Schizosaccharomyces pombe: one gene and its partners. The protein of the gene in region 1 purifies or fractionates together with the protein of each later gene. This does not show direct contact. Each region holds a gene or a part of one and is shown in the gene's direction. Other genes may lie near its edges.

Region 1 (3,956 bases):
TTTATACTATTATAGATATTCTATTATACAGGTTAAATAAGTAAAAGAGTAGATGGGTGGTGGTGGAATGGGAGTGTTGTAAGTAAAGCGATATTGCCAAGTACGTTTGGAGACTGGAGCAAGTGATGTATCCTGAAACTGTTTCATTATAATGCATATTTTATTTGTATTGTGTATATGTATATGTATGTGTATGTTTTGCTTTCCTATCAAAACGAAGAAGAGCGGATTTTCGAGGCAAGGCCAAGAAGCGCTTTGCCGATTACGTGACAATCGTACACTATGTTATTGATACAATTTTGCTTATGATGCACCATTATGCCTAGAAAAAAATAGAAGCGACGACGAAATGCCGACGATGTAAACGAAGTGTTTGACAACAGCCACCTTGTTAAGAAGGTAGAGAAAAGAGAGGAAACAGAGTGGGAGCGAGAGAGAAAAAAGAGGAAAAAAAGAGAATGGGCAAAACACCGAGTGTTAATAATGGAAAATGGAAAATGGGAATGTACAAGGTTAGAAGAAAGTTGGAAACAAAAAAGTTGAAAAAAAAAAGTTGGAAATGCAAGTAGATTGTGAGTTGAGTCAATGTTTATTACGAGTCGATACTCAGTTTGAATCGATGCTCATTTGAGTCCCTGCTCGTTCGTTGGTTTTGGGAATGAAATGGCAAGTCAAAAAATTACGCACAAGGAGAATATGAGATTCGTAACGAATGTCTCTTTTCGCTAAAAGACAAGAACTATGGTGGAGTAAATTCCTCAATTCACATCATGGAGCTTACGTGGAGCAATGCAGTGTATTAGTACGAGTGGTGCACTGTACGTCGACATGCCATGTTTGAGCAAGTCAATGCTAGCGTTGAAATTGCCTGTGGATTGCATTGCATGTATATGCCACACTGTTGGCGTAGCGTGAAATGATGATGAATGTTGATGAGATGACGGGAGAATTCAATTAGTAAGGATGTTTTGGCAGATGTGAGAAGGTTTGGACGCTGTAAAGTATGGAAAATCAAAATTCCTGAATTTTTGTAAACTCCCATACAAATACGATTACACATACATACAAAAATGCAAATAACAAAATATACACGCACGCATGCACACTAAATAAACAAACTGTGCGTCCATTCCTTTTATGCACAAACGTTGAAGCTCAGGACATCGCACCAACAATCACTCATCTCTTCTCTCTCTACCCACTTTCCACCCACACCCACAGTCTGCATCTGTTTGACGACTGTAGCTCAAGCATCAGTAGCAGCCGCTGTCATCCTCAACTGCTGCTGCTGATGCTGCTTGAATGTACGCATGATAGCAACGACGCACCGCTCTACCACTACTACCGAAGCGCCATCATCACCTCCTCACCTACCATCGCAATCGTCCTCTCGAAACTCTTCGACCGCTTTCACCCGGCTTCCTGCAGGTAACAATGCGCTCGGCGCTTGATTAAAAGAGGCCAGAGGCGATAAATGACTCAGGGTGCATTTGGCCTCGCTACGAAAGGACCCTGTCTTGTGATTTTTCCGTAGCCAATGGACAACCGCCTTGTCAACCTTTTGACTTTGGAATGTGCTAGCAATTCCTCCTTCCCCCTGACTTCAGGTGACAAGGCTTGCATCACGCTGAGGTAGGCGTCGGAAAAACTTTCCTCACAAGGCTGACGTCATGGAATGTGCAATCAAAGTCAGGAGCGGGAACGAGGCAGATTACCAACGAAGCAACGACCATCTCGGAACAACTTGCAAAGAAAGTCAAGGAAAGTTGGCACCACATCACGATCGCGCACCTTCTCCAATCACCTTGCTCCTTAGTTGTTCCGAATCGAGTGCGAGGCAATTGTGGTAAAGATAGTCGGGGGAAACCCTTACCCCATTCACACCACGGCTGATGGCTGCTGTGTGGGATGGAAAGGTATAAATAGAGGCAGGCGGTGCCTAGCATCGCTTCTGTATAGATCATTCATCCATAGTATTGATTTACACTTGATTCAAAATGGCAATTCCTAAGGTTGGTATTAACGGTTTCGGTCGTATTGGACGTATTGTCCTCCGTAACGCTTTGGTCGCTAAGACCATCCAAGTCGTTGCTATCAACGATCCTTTTATCGATCTTGAATACATGGCCTACATGTTCAAGTACGACTCTACCCACGGTCGCTTCGATGGCTCCGTCGAGATCAAGGATGGTAAGCTCGTCATTGATGGCAATGCCATCGATGTCCACAACGAGCGTGACCCCGCCGACATCAAGTGGTCTACCTCTGGTGCTGACTACGTTATCGAGTCCACCGGTGTCTTCACCACTCAAGAGACTGCCTCTGCTCACTTGAAGGGTGGTGCCAAGCGTGTCATCATCTCTGCTCCTTCCAAGGACGCCCCCATGTACGTTGTCGGTGTCAACGAGGAGAAGTTCAACCCCTCTGAGAAGGTTATCTCCAACGCTTCTTGCACCACCAACTGTTTGGCTCCCCTTGCCAAGGTCATCAACGACACCTTCGGTATCGAGGAGGGTCTCATGACCACTGTCCACGCTACCACTGCCACCCAAAAGACCGTTGACGGTCCCTCCAAGAAGGACTGGCGTGGTGGTCGTGGCGCCAGCGCCAACATCATCCCCTCCTCCACTGGTGCCGCCAAGGCCGTCGGTAAGGTTATTCCCGCTCTTAACGGTAAGCTTACCGGTATGGCTTTCCGTGTCCCTACCCCCGATGTTTCCGTTGTTGACTTGACCGTCAAGTTGGCCAAGCCTACCAACTACGAGGACATCAAGGCCGCCATCAAGGCTGCCTCTGAGGGCCCCATGAAGGGTGTGTTGGGTTACACCGAGGACGCTGTTGTCTCCACTGACTTCTGCGGTGACAACCACTCCTCCATCTTCGATGCCTCTGCCGGTATCCAACTTTCTCCTCAATTCGTCAAGCTCGTCTCTTGGTACGATAACGAATGGGGTTACTCCCGCCGTGTCGTTGACTTGGTTGCCTACACTGCCGCCAAGGACAACTAACTAGCTAATCATCCCGATGCTAAGAAACGTCGGGTGGGTGCTTAAAGGCAATGCAGGAAAGTCTTTTGGAGTTGTTTTCCCCGTTTTTTCTTTATGTTAGACAAAGGAGTCGTTGTCGTTTGCAGTGCGGGAGTTTTCTTTTTTAGATTTTCGCATTTTTTTTGTGGACGCGCACTCTATGTGAATAAATAGATGGATGACTTTTTTACAAATTTCCTCTGTTCTTTGATACCCTCCTTCTCATTCATTGTTGCATATATTTTTTTTAATTTTGTTGCAGTGATGAGATGGCTGAGCGTTTGTTTTTGAACTTATAAATACTTATAAATAAATTTTATGATTTTGATAAATACTTTTTTTCGTTTTGGTTTGTGATACGTATAGTTTGCCTGTCTCCTTTTGTAAATGATCTTCTTTTGTAGTCTTGTGTAATCTCTTTTTCATTTGGTCAACTTAAGTGAATTTTTTTTTGTCAGTTTCCTTGTAGGATATTATGTCAAAGTCTTATTTATACTATATATTATTGCTTTGGTGGTGAGTCGCATTTGTGGGGACGGTGTTACTTTACTGATGGATTTAGGTAGGAGGCATCCACTGTCCCCCATTTCGCTAGCTTAAGTTTAATATGAAGATGCACTTAAGCATGAACGCCCGTTTTGATCTTTTTCACTTGTACCGCGAAGAGCTTGTTTTACTGTTTTTCCGTCTGCATCCCGAGAACTAGTTGATCTCCCAATGCACACTTTAGACTTTATTCAAACCGAAGTCGGTTTTGTAATTTAAAAATTTTTACCCACTGTAAAGTACAAACAATTCATCGCTATGTTAGTTGTGTACGCTACTAGCGCATCACATGATTACATGTTAATCAACAAAAACGAAAATGTTTATTGTCAATCTAAAAATACATATGTCCGTTAAGACAAAAGTATGAGGCTGGATGGAATG
Region 2 (7,665 bases), on another chromosome or scaffold:
GTTATAAAGTATTTATCAGAATTATATAGCGCTTAAACAACATAACGAATTGCGTTCTTTGATGTTATAGAACTTTGTATTTCCTTATAAATCATTTACAGATTCATGTTCAAAATTCGTTATGTCGTTCTCATGACGACCGTTTGTTTACTAACAAAAGCGTGGTCTTGACGAAAGTGCCTTCTACCATTATTTACACACTTGAATGGGTTGACGCGTACAGTCTTTTCTCTACGGCAATAATTCTTTCTTTAATTTAGCTTAAGAGAAATATAGATTTACGAGTATTTCGTCAATGGGAGTTGTATACGGCAGTCAACAAAATTTAAGTGAATATTTCTATTCTTCTGTCAATATGGCAGAGGTTCCAGATACTTTCGAAGAGAATAGGGGTCATTCTTTTGAAGGTGTGACTCTACAACGAAGGCATGTGAAAGGCATGAAAAGTTATGGTTCAGATATTACACCGAGGCGCCCTAAACAGCTTGGATTACCGAAAGAAGTTAACACCTCCGAATGCATAGATCAAGGCTCATGGAGGAAACCCTCAGCATTTGAAAGCTTAAGAAGTTACTCCCGAAAATTTTCTAAACGAATTTTTTCATTCATAGGAGTTGAGTCAAAAAGTACTGTACAACGCAACGCTTCAGGTGCAGACAGTACGTCGTTGTCTCACTTTACGGCGAATGAGATAAACAAAGGCAACTGTAAAAAAACTGCGTTAAGTAATGAATTTAATTCGGCCAATAAAGGGAGCAAGGCTAGTGGTGTAGGTGCTGAACTACCTTCAGTTAATGGATTTATTGAAGGTGAGCTTCATGATGATAATGAGACAGATTCCTTTCGGATAAATGAATTAGCTAAGCAAATCCAAGAAACTTCTTTGGGTGCGACTACGCAAGAAGATGAGAGTTCGGATGGTATTTGCTGGGACGAGTTATCGACTACTTCGCCAGAGTCGTCGAAAGTGTCGGAACCTATCATTCAAGACAATACGCAAACGACTCATATAAATAACGATTCATCGGATATTCGATTTTCATCTCGTTGCGATTTATTTGCGGACGATGCGGATTCAGATTGGGAGCAGGACTTTAATGTGAAATTCGATAGTCCATTGATAATTCCCGAAACGGTAAACAGTGCAGGACACACCGTTCGAGAACAGCTTTTTGAGGTGAAGGAATTTACGAGATCCATCAAAGGTAAGACATTCATGTGTTGTAATGCTTTAGTTTTAACCGCTGCTAACTAAAAACACAAATAGACTTAAAAGATCTTTACGAAAAGGCAAATTCCAAAGATATTTACGACAAGGACTCAGAGATTTTAGGAGAGGCTAAGGCTATTCTACGGTTAGCGGATCCTGCAAATTATTCTGATTTAAAGGATGAGGACGCGCAAAACATTTTATCAAAATATAAAGTTAAGTTGGAAGGGGATTCTTCATTAGATTTCGATGCGTCCATGCTACCAGGGCTAAACGATCATGTGCATTATTTAATGTCCCAACTCCAACTATTATTACACTGAGTTTCTCTTTTTGGCTATTTAATCCATTAATGGAATGGGAAGTATCTATTTTGTTATCCAAAGTGTCAAAATTTCGCTTAGGATAATTTCAATAATTGTGAGAACAGTTTCGCATTGGTGGATAGCAAGTAAAGGTGAAACTGGCCATTACAACCTTTTTATACTTCTGCATCTTAAGAAGCTTTTGGTTTTATTGTAAATTTCTTTCGTTTTCTCTTTTTAATAAATCTATTTTGCAATAATATTTCGGAAAAAGTACTAGACAGATGTTTTGTCTTTTGTGAATATTAGTCCAACCTTTATTCTGTGATAAAAAGATTTTATTAAATTAAAGTAAAAGAATGTAAATCAAAAATACCTGAAAACCCATATCTATGATTTTGCTATTTAGTGAGAAATTCCTCATTGCACTGAAAATCCTTAAAACTAGTACCCCACTTCATACTATACTACGGGGTTAGACCACAATTAGTTGTTTATCCTTTGCACACCGCAAACCTATAAATTTTCTTTTTGTCAATTCCACATATTCTACAAGGAGGATTGACTTTTTAGTTCACTGATTATTGCTCTTTCAACAATTTATACGCGGTAGTTTTACTGCTCTTCGGCTCGTATAATTTTTTTACACAACACTTTTATCGATTTTTTAAGCCGAATTTCTACATTTAATATTTTATCATTTTTTTCTGCTCATTAATATTTACCGTATCTTTTCGAAAACCCATTGCTTTGGATGTGTGTGTGTGTCTCTCTCTCTACGTTCCTCAATTTGACTGCATTACTTTAATATACTTACAACCTGAATTCTGTTCGGTTGGTAATTCCTGCAATCGTTATTTGTCTTTGTCAACTTCGGATTTTTTATTTTTACATATAACAGTAGTTGCATTGACTTCGCTGCACAATTCCTTACACTGAGTTGGCATTCCTTGCATCTGTAAACCACTTTTTCATTACCCACTCCCATTTTTGACTTCAGTAAACAATTATTCTACTACTACTTGCCACTATTCCAAACTTATCTGTTTCCCGTTTTGGGTTTAAATTTGGGTATAACGGTCTTTTTTATACATAACTTCTGAAGCAATTCGAAATTTGTTCCTCAACAAACATGGAAAATATTTTGGATCCTTCTGTGGTCAATTCACATATACTAGAAAATGGCTCAAGGCGATCTTCTATCAATCCAATTCTTGATAGTGAATTGCGTGATAAAACATTTGAAAAGGCTCATCGTCGCTCTTTGACTTTACTTTCAAGTTTTACCTCGTCTATGCTTGAACTTCCTAACAACGGAAAAGAAGAAAATCACAGAAGGCCATCTGTTGCGCGTAGCTCAAGTGATAGATCCAAGGCGAGCGCCAAAGAGGACTTATTTTCAGAAGCTTTCAGAATGGCTGAACAGCCTCCAGCCGAGGCCCTTACTATTTCTACCCCTGTTGACCCAATCAATATTGATGAATTAGATCGTGCTTATGCCGTAAGTCCAAGCGATACTAGTAATCTACTACATCCTCCTACTTCTTCCTCTTCCATTCCTATACCAATTAAGAATGCTGGTCATTCAAACCTCGATCATCCTATCCGACCTAGTCTGCAAAGTAGTATTAGCTCAAATAGGATAATAAAGTCTCCCGGTATTAAGGAAGACGATTATATGCACAGAGGACGTTCTATTTCGTCGCCAATGATTGATGTTGAACACATAAATTCAACAGCAGTTCCAAGCAAAACTAAAAATTTGCCAGAAAAGCCCAAGCGTTCTCACAAACTAAGAAATTCTATAACATTTGCTAAAATTGAAGATCATCCTGAGAGGAAATCTCAATTAAGACGACTGAGTAGTTCGTTAAAGTGTTTTGACCCAGAATATGATTATAACGATCCTTCTCTAAGCATTCGTCGTGATAGTTCAACTTATTACTTTTCTAATGTTAATGAAACTTATGATGAGGAGGACTCGGATTTAGATTCTGAGACTTCAACTGTAAATTGGGTACAATCTGTTCTGAATCTCCCATCCTTACTTTCTGATGATTTAATGGCTAACCCAAAAAACAAAGAACGTTTTGAATGGCAATATATGTTGACTTCAGTTCTGACTGGTGATATAGTCCGATCTGAAAAATTACGGCTAAGAAAGATTGCTTCTTCTCGAGAAGGGCGAAATAGTGATTATTCTGATAATTTGTGGATGGAAATATGGTGTTGGCTTACTCATCGTTCCGTTGATTCTTATAGAGAAAATTTAAAACATCTTCGTACGGGTATGGTTGATGTGCTACTGGCCATTATGAATTTTCATTGGGATGAGAGCAACGAATTAACCCCTATTGTTGCTGTCGATAACATGCTGCAAAAACTTGATAAATATGAACGTTTATATCCTTCACGTCGTTCTATCCTTCAGGAACATTCATTATATGCTTCAGAATCTTTTCAGCACAAGTTGGATGTCTTGACGGCTTATTCTAATGTCACTCATGCGCTAGAAATTCAAGTTAACATTATTCGCTCGTGGGTTGGTAATGAGGAAATGGACATTACCAAAAATACTACAAATTCTATTAATAACGTTTCTCAAATTTCAAACGGACCATTTGTGGAGCGCTTTTATAGAGAAACCGGTTTGATTCGAGCTTTTGAGCAAAGAATCATGACTAATATGAATAGCGTATTAAGCAAAGTTTGTAATACGATTGTTACATATGCGGATGATTTAAAAAGTTATGGCTTGCCGCTTATTGCTGATGATTACATGCGTCTTCTTTCTTTTCCGTTTAGGTTAATCAAAGAGTTCCTAAATCTTCGCTTATCATGTGCAGAAAATATTACCTCAATTTCTTTATTTACGATTGACTCTTTACTAGATGACCTTCGGAACACTATGAAAGTTGCCGTCCATATCATTCAACAACACACTGTTCTAATCAAACCTTTTCGTGATGATAGCAAATTTGTTGATGAAAACCAGTCCTTAAACAATATTTTAGTTGCCTCATTGAAATTTTACTTCAATTTATTACATCGTAAGGTTCGCAATGGCTGTGCCTTGCTGCATTTCAAAGAAACCGAAATTTTAGAAGGAGAATGGGATTTTCTGCTCGCTGTTTGTCCCCACATCGAACACGGATTCCAAATTATGTCTAAAAGTCTTTCTTCGCTGGTTGGTGAAATATTGACCAATATCAATAGGTATCTAAAAGATCAGCTGCAGGGGCCCGATACCGATGACTCTGCATTGATCACCTCATTTTATATCAAGGTGCTTGACTGTGTTAGAATTCGCTTCCGAAAATTGATGAGTTTTACTCGTATACTAAAAGCGCATTTGGAAAATTCTTGCGAGTACGTTATTAAAGAGAATTCATTATCCCTTTTAATACAACGCCTTGAAGAATCAAATCACGTTTTGACATATACGGCGAGTATCGAACATGAAGGAGCATACGTAATTGTTCCAGGACACCTAGTTGATTCCCCTAATATACTTCGTGAGGTACTTTCAATGACTTTTAATAAAGGAGATAATAATTTTGAAAGTGTACCTCCATATGCGGTTGTATTGGCTCCAGACAGCTCAATATGTTGGAACGGCCATGTTACAGATCTTGATATTCCGGAAGTGTCAATTTCCATTGCTCCTAACTGTGTCCGTTTAGTAACGTTAGCGACAGCTAATCAACTCTCTGTTATCGAAGATTATTTTATTAGTATAGTTGGTGACACAGTCTCACTTGTTGATTCTGCGAAAGCAAATTCATCCAAAATCAACAAACAAATGACCAAAATTAAACGAAATTCTTTGAAGTTGGCTTTGTCATTGCTTGATGTGATACAAACAATTCGTACAAGGTACCATGGCATGAATTGCCAAAATCTAATTCATTATTCTTTTTCTTACGCCATTGAATTTGCACAACGATTAATGAGGCTTTCGATCCTAGACGCATCTAGCATTGGGCTGATTCGTCGCAAAATGATACAGCTGGCGATCAGTTGGGTTGGATTCATCTATGAGGATTGTTCTCCTACCGATAGAAATACGTTTCGTTGGACTGTTACGGCTTTAGAATTCGCAATGATTATGACATACGGTTCGAACATTTTAATGATTGATAAAAAATCATTTGAAGAACTCAAAGAAAAGGTTGGAAAATGTGTGGCATTATTACTTTTGCACTTTGATGTTATGGGTACTAAACATGCTGGTCGTAGTATGGACCAACAAGCTGGAGATATACCAGCTCGCCTTGTTCGAAATAATTCCGACCGAAGTCGTTTATCGGATAATGAGTTGGCTTCCTTTGTCAAGGAGGAGGTTATGCATCGGATAATTGAACTAGAAAGTAATAGAAGGGACCGACTTTATAAGTCCCAGCTCATTGGACGTGTTTTGGATGATACGACAAAGGAGAACAGGCTATTGAAAGAGCTAGCCTCTTCGAAATCTAATATCACGATTCGATGGCAACAGGGTGGACTTATAGGTAGCGGTTCTTTCGGTACGGTTTATCGTGCTGTTAACTTGGATACAGGAGATTTAATGGCTGTTAAAGAAGTGGCATTGCATAAACCTCGTATATCTAGACCGATGATCAAGAGGATTAAAGGTGAAATGTTAGTACTTGAACTCTTTGATCATCCTAATGTCGTATCGTATTATGGTATCGAAGTGCATCGTGAAAAAGTTAATATATTTATGGAACTTTGTCAAGGCTCTTCGCTTTTCGAATTTCTACGTTACGGTAGAATTGAGGACGAATTGGTAATTCAAGTTTATGTCCTACAATTATTAGAAGGATTGGCTTACATACACTCCTGTGGTGTTTCACATCAAGATGTAAAGCCTGAGAATATCCTTTTTGATCACAACGGGATCATGAAATTTACAGATTTTGGTTCTGCCAAGATGTCGGGTTCTGCTTCAACTAAAATTTTTGAACAGTTAACACAACAAGAAGAGGAAGAGTTTGAAAAAGACTCGGAATTTTTGCAGCATCTAGACCAAAATCGCGGTTACTCCTTGACAGGAACACCTACGTATATGGCGCCAGAATTAATTCTTGGTAATCCGTCCGAAAGGGTTGGTGCTATGGATATTTGGTCACTTGGATGTGTTATTGTTGAAATGGCTACGGGTTCCCCACCTTGGCCTAGATTAGATAATCATTTTTCTTTGATGTATCACATTGCTGCACATAATCCTCCTATTATTCCTGCAGATGATCAGCTTTCGCCTTTGGGTCAAAATTTCCTCAAACGTTGTTTTGTTTCTGATCCCAATCAGCGCGCTACAGCTGCCGAATTATTAATGGATCCATGGGTGTATCCCTTACGGGCTGGTACGGAATTCGATCTTATGAACTCATCCGTAGTCGAATCAGCGCCTTCTACCAATGGTGCTCCGTTGGAACTTTAGATGTTTGCTATGTTTTACACCTTATGACTATTTTTTGGATACGGTTTTAATTTAATACTTAATTAATAGAGACGAGAAATATTATAAAGTCCTAAACACTTTGTAAGTTTTGTATTCGTAGCAATCTATGCGGTATTCATTAAATGAATCGTTATTGAATTAGTTGAGTGTAAAAGTGACTTTATCATAGAATCATTTTTACTACGGCGCTAGGAAGAGACGTTAATTAAATTACCTTGCTACAACAATCAAACGTAAATACAATGCATATATTGATGAGTTTCATTGTTACGCTAATATACAAGATAGATCAGCCTAATGCTGAATTTTTTACATTTGTTTAGATATGTCAAGCTAAAGAGTTCCTGGATTCTACCAGAAACTTGGAAATCCAATAAAAATAATCCGATTTATTTTATCTGCCATAACATTGATTTTAAAAATTTTAATAAGTTTTACCTAAGCAGCAAGAATGTCGGAATCGCCAGCATCAATAACTGCTAATACACCGACGCGAAATAATTTACCACATGCAGTTCCTAAATCAATACTTGAAAACAGTTAGTAAAACAAAATTCGACTCCCAATTAAGATCTCTGTCGAAATCAAAAAGGCTTCAAAAAGCTAGCCATTAAACAGTGTTTCTCAACATCAATTGCTATATTTTTCTTTCAAAGAAATGATGGTCATAAAATTAGCATAGTTTA
Region 3 (4,303 bases), 750 kb from region 1:
ATAAGGTAATTCCCGCAAGTTTAGATGAGATAGATCTAACGTAAGTGCATTTTCAGGACCCGCATCTTCTGCCTCTTTAATAATTCTTTCAATTTCTGAGTTTTTTGTGGAGGACACCTCATGAGCAGACATAGCATGAAAAGATCGATCACCTCAGACGTAAATCCGAAGGTTTTGTTGAAAAAAAAAGGAACTCTAAGAAGTAATAATTACTAAAAAAATGCAATGAACATAAAATTGATCCACAATGGTATGCTATAATGTACAAAAGTCAATTCCCCAAAATTTACTGCCAAGCTAGTTCGCGGAACGAATAAACTCACTTCTTTCTGTGTACGCATCTGTAGGTTGTACTTTTTTATTTTAACAACGTGAATAAGCACTTTTCCTTAAAATAATTACAGTTTATTAACGTTTACACAAAATATTTTCGTTAAGTTTGATATTGCGTTTTATTTTTTTTAGCTATGCAGTTCGTAATTATCATTAATGATATGTTAGACTACTTGATTTTCGTATGTGCACTACATAGCGGTACATATGGTTGTATGATAACGGGGGTTACGGATATCCTTGTATGAAGGCGGTAATGTAATTTATCTCTAAACAAACCACCACAGCTGAACTAAAGAACGTTGTTCCTTTGATTTTACATCTATCATTTCTAGCTAATAAATTAAAAAATTTATTAGTGGATCTACATCGTATTGTTATCATTTGTAAGACGATAGGTAATCAGAACATGTGACATATAGTAATTCGTAATTGTAATGTAGTATTGTTAGCATTCATTTCTAATTCTTGAATGATCAAAAGCACTCGCTATATTATGTTGGTTCGAACTTTTTGAGTTCATCGAGATCAGAAGTCGTTATTAACAGGAGCAACAAATGCTAACGCTACAGTATGTTTTGTGGTAAATAATTCTTTAAGTGTAAATTGATAACTTTTTGAATGAGTTGCAATTTTGTTGATTCAATATTTCTGTCATTTATCTATAGTTTGTTTATCAATTTGATTATCTTGGTGCGTTTGATTTCCTAATCATTAATATTTATTGTTTATTTTATTAGTCCTTAATATATTGCTTCCTAATAGAATCGCCTAGGTTTATCATTATGATTTAAGAACCTGATAAAAATAAATGAGTTGATAAATTGTACATATAATCAAACACGGTTTTTTTTTCTATGACTAAATGGGTTACTATCTAAAATAATTTTTTTTGGTTTCTCATTGAGAAATTGAAGCCTCATTATTTTTGAATTTCAAAAATATTGGTTTGTGTTGATTAAATCATTTAATCTGAGTCATTAAATATCCAAACCTGACAAGTAGTAATAGGACCATTAATGGTAGCCAACTAAGTATGGGTATAACGTTTAATTTTTTTTTTTTTTAAACTACATACTTTAAATAAAATCTAAAATAAGGAATAAATTTCAGAAACAATTACTCAATTAGTTAAATTTTAGTAATGTCGAATTCTAATAGTAAGTCAATAACACAACAGTATCCCTTTTAAACGAATACTTATTTGCTCGTATCGTAGAATGTATAATTTACAATCGCAGTTTTAGCTGTGCCTATTATTTTCACGTGTTAAAATTTATTCGATTTTTGTCCTCAGATGGAAGGTGTTACTCTAAGTACTCTACTAAATCCCCAGCGCTTGTTGCACGACTAGGTAACGAAACTCAACACCTTAAGTAGGCTTGCCGTATTGTATCGTGAACCATACCTTACTCATTCCTTATCACGAACAGTGATTTTATACTTGTATATTTCTATTAAATTTAAAATAGAAGGGGATTATACAAGAAGCTATCGAATGTTAAACGTAAAAACAGGCGGCTGTTTTGGTTGTTCATACTGTATATAGGAAAGTTGAGGTTAAGTCAAAAGAAAGAAGATATATAGAAGATGCGCATTTGGTTTAAAAAAGTTCCAGATGGGATTACTTCCTCCGTTATATTGTCTGAAGATCATCTGGTTGACGATTTAAAAGATGCCATCGCTCGGAAATTCCCTATTCGTATCAGTCAGTATTATGATGCACCTGAGCTTTCGATTCGTGTAGTAGCTCCACCAAATGCATCATCGGAGTTGCAATCTAGAGAACTCAGTCCCAACGAAAGCATATTATTTGTCATGGAAACTTATTATCCTCATGGTCAGGATTTTAACGACGCGCTTCTAGTAGCGTCGCCGGATACCTCAGTTGCCTTAAGATATCGCTCTTCTCAACTCTCATCCTCTACATTTGAATCAACACCTCCCGTTTTTTCTGAATACCCACCTAACATAATCCCTACCCCAGCGAACGAAACAGTCCCGCGTATCAAACAGCCATCCATTGCTCTTGATTCACTTGAGAGCCCGGTTTCTGCCCCTTCACGACATCAAAGTACTTATTCTTATAAAGGAGGTCCTTTAAATTATAATTTACGAAATGCATCCCGAACTAGGTCCCATCAAACTCTTCCTTCCTCTAATGTAAATAAAACTGGCGTACTACTTTTGCCTCGTTCTTCTAGACAGCAAACATTGGCTTCAAGACCCTCTTTACCAGATCTAACTTCAGCTGACAAGTCGCAACCATCAGACGAAGCCGAATCCATTACTAGAAAAAATTCTATTGGAATGTCGACTCGGTCTGATGAATCAACAGCTGAAAAATTGGCGAAAGCCGAAGTCGCGACACCCACTAATAGTAGAAGTATTAGTCATTCATCGCTTTATACGAAACAATCTGGTACCGCAGGAGTCCTTCCCGCGGTTAATGCTGATATTGACGCAGCAAATAGGATGAACCCTGATATCAGTTCTCAATTTCCTATAGCAGACAACAAAGATCCCTTAAATGCTGATACACAAGCCCATTTAGGATTTCCTTCTAATCAAATAGATGGAATTGTTGGTACTTCACCAGTCAATGTTCTAACAAGTCCCGGCATAGGTGCGAAAGCACCTTTTGCTAGTCTACTTGAAGGAGTGATTCCTCCAATTAACGTTTTGATTGTTGAAGATAATATTATTAATCAAAAAATCCTAGAGACTTTTATGAAGAAGCGCAATATTTCCTCGGAGGTTGCTAAAGATGGGCTTGAAGCACTCGAGAAGTGGAAAAAGAAATCTTTTCACTTGATTCTAATGGACATCCAACTTCCCACGATGTCCGGTATTGAAGTCACCCAAGAAATTAGGAGACTTGAGCGGTTAAACGCAATTGGAGTTGGTGCTCCAAAATTGACACAACCGATACCTGAAAAGGATCAGCTAAATGAAAACAAATTTCAATCTCCTGTGATTATAGTGGCACTTACTGCTTCTAGCCTAATGGCTGATCGAAACGAGGCTTTAGCTGCTGGTTGCAATGATTTTCTTACAAAGCCTGTCTCTTTAGTTTGGCTAGAGAAAAAAATTACGGAGTGGGGCTGTATGCAAGCGCTTATTGATTGGAATGGTTGGTGCCGTTTTCGCGGTCGATGATATTAGCCTTACCAAATTTTGTATCACTGTGTTTTGTTCTGTTCACCACAATAAGTCGAGCTCCGCTCATTTTATTTCCGTAATCTTTTATTGTATAAAATTAATCTTTTGGTTATCAATTTGTCGGACGCTATGGTTTGCTAGCAAAATAATTTCCTCTTTTCCTTTACCTAATTACCTGCCTTAATTATTAATGGATCAGCTTGTCATAGATACTTATTGCTAATTGTGTTATCCTTATAACTAAACACTTTCTGATTTACCTAATATTATGTTGTACATTAAAACTCCAAAATTTCGTTATTCATCTACAAAGATAATAAAGTAGGATATCTTATTTTCGTATCTAATATTTTAGTTGTAAAGACTTTTAATATGTCGCTAAAAAATGAGCGTATTTCAATCTCGTGTGCATCATTCTTGATTGCGTCCATACCACACTTAAACACCAATATTTTCTGTGTCTTTTGTTTTAATACGTTTTTGTAATTAATAGTAAACTGTGGTGTTTTTTTTTTCTTTAAATTTTTTTAGAAGATTTGTTTTATAAAAAATGACTTCTATCTCGAAAAGAAAAAATCAACAGGAGCATATACCCGCAGAGGATCTAGAAACACCAAAATTACCAAAGCGAGAAAAAATCGAGGGCACAAAAGAATCTAACAAAGTTCGTATCATCATTTTATTGGGATATTCTGGTTATGGTTACCATGGGATTCAAATAAATAATCCCCTTAAAACAATTGAAGGAGATGTTGTAGCTGTACTTAAAAAATTGGGCTATTTAAAAACAAATAACATTGATGCTGAA

Evidence for each region.
Region 2: the proteins of tdh1 (region 1) and win1 purify together in Schizosaccharomyces pombe (affinity purification with western blotting, with the first as the bait; one study listed by BioGRID). This does not show direct contact.
Region 3: the proteins of tdh1 (region 1) and mcs4 purify together in Schizosaccharomyces pombe (affinity purification with western blotting, with the first as the bait; 3 studies listed by BioGRID). This does not show direct contact.

The regions. Positions count from the first base shown.
Region 1 is NC_003423.3:2,805,640-2,809,595, forward strand, and holds tdh1 (glyceraldehyde-3-phosphate dehydrogenase Tdh1), read left to right. Parts: upstream 1-1,955; 5' UTR 1,956-1,997; coding exon 1,998-3,008; 3' UTR 3,009-3,412; downstream 3,413-3,956.
Region 2 is NC_003424.3:5,087,794-5,095,458, forward strand, and holds win1 (MAP kinase kinase kinase Win1), read left to right. Parts: upstream 1-2,022; 5' UTR 2,023-2,647; coding exon 2,648-6,958; 3' UTR 6,959-7,055; downstream 7,056-7,665. Other genes in the region: Spg1-binding protein Etd1, read left to right, coding at 296-1,205, 1,268-1,533; rpl3002 (60S ribosomal protein eL30), read right to left, coding at 7,418-7,508. UniProt on the Schizosaccharomyces pombe protein: Involved in a signal transduction pathway that is activated by changes in the osmolarity of the extracellular environment. Activates the wis1 MAP kinase kinase by phosphorylation.
Region 3 is NC_003423.3:3,555,351-3,559,653, forward strand, and holds mcs4 (response regulator Mcs4), read left to right. Parts: upstream 1-1,737; 5' UTR 1,738-1,923; coding exon 1,924-3,492; 3' UTR 3,493-3,787; downstream 3,788-4,303. Other genes in the region: leucine-rich repeat protein Sog2, read right to left, coding at 1-132; tRNA pseudouridine synthase Pus2, read left to right, coding at 4,046-4,303. UniProt on the Schizosaccharomyces pombe protein: Response regulator that coordinately controls the stress activated wak1-wis1-sty1 MAP kinase pathway and fission yeast cell cycle.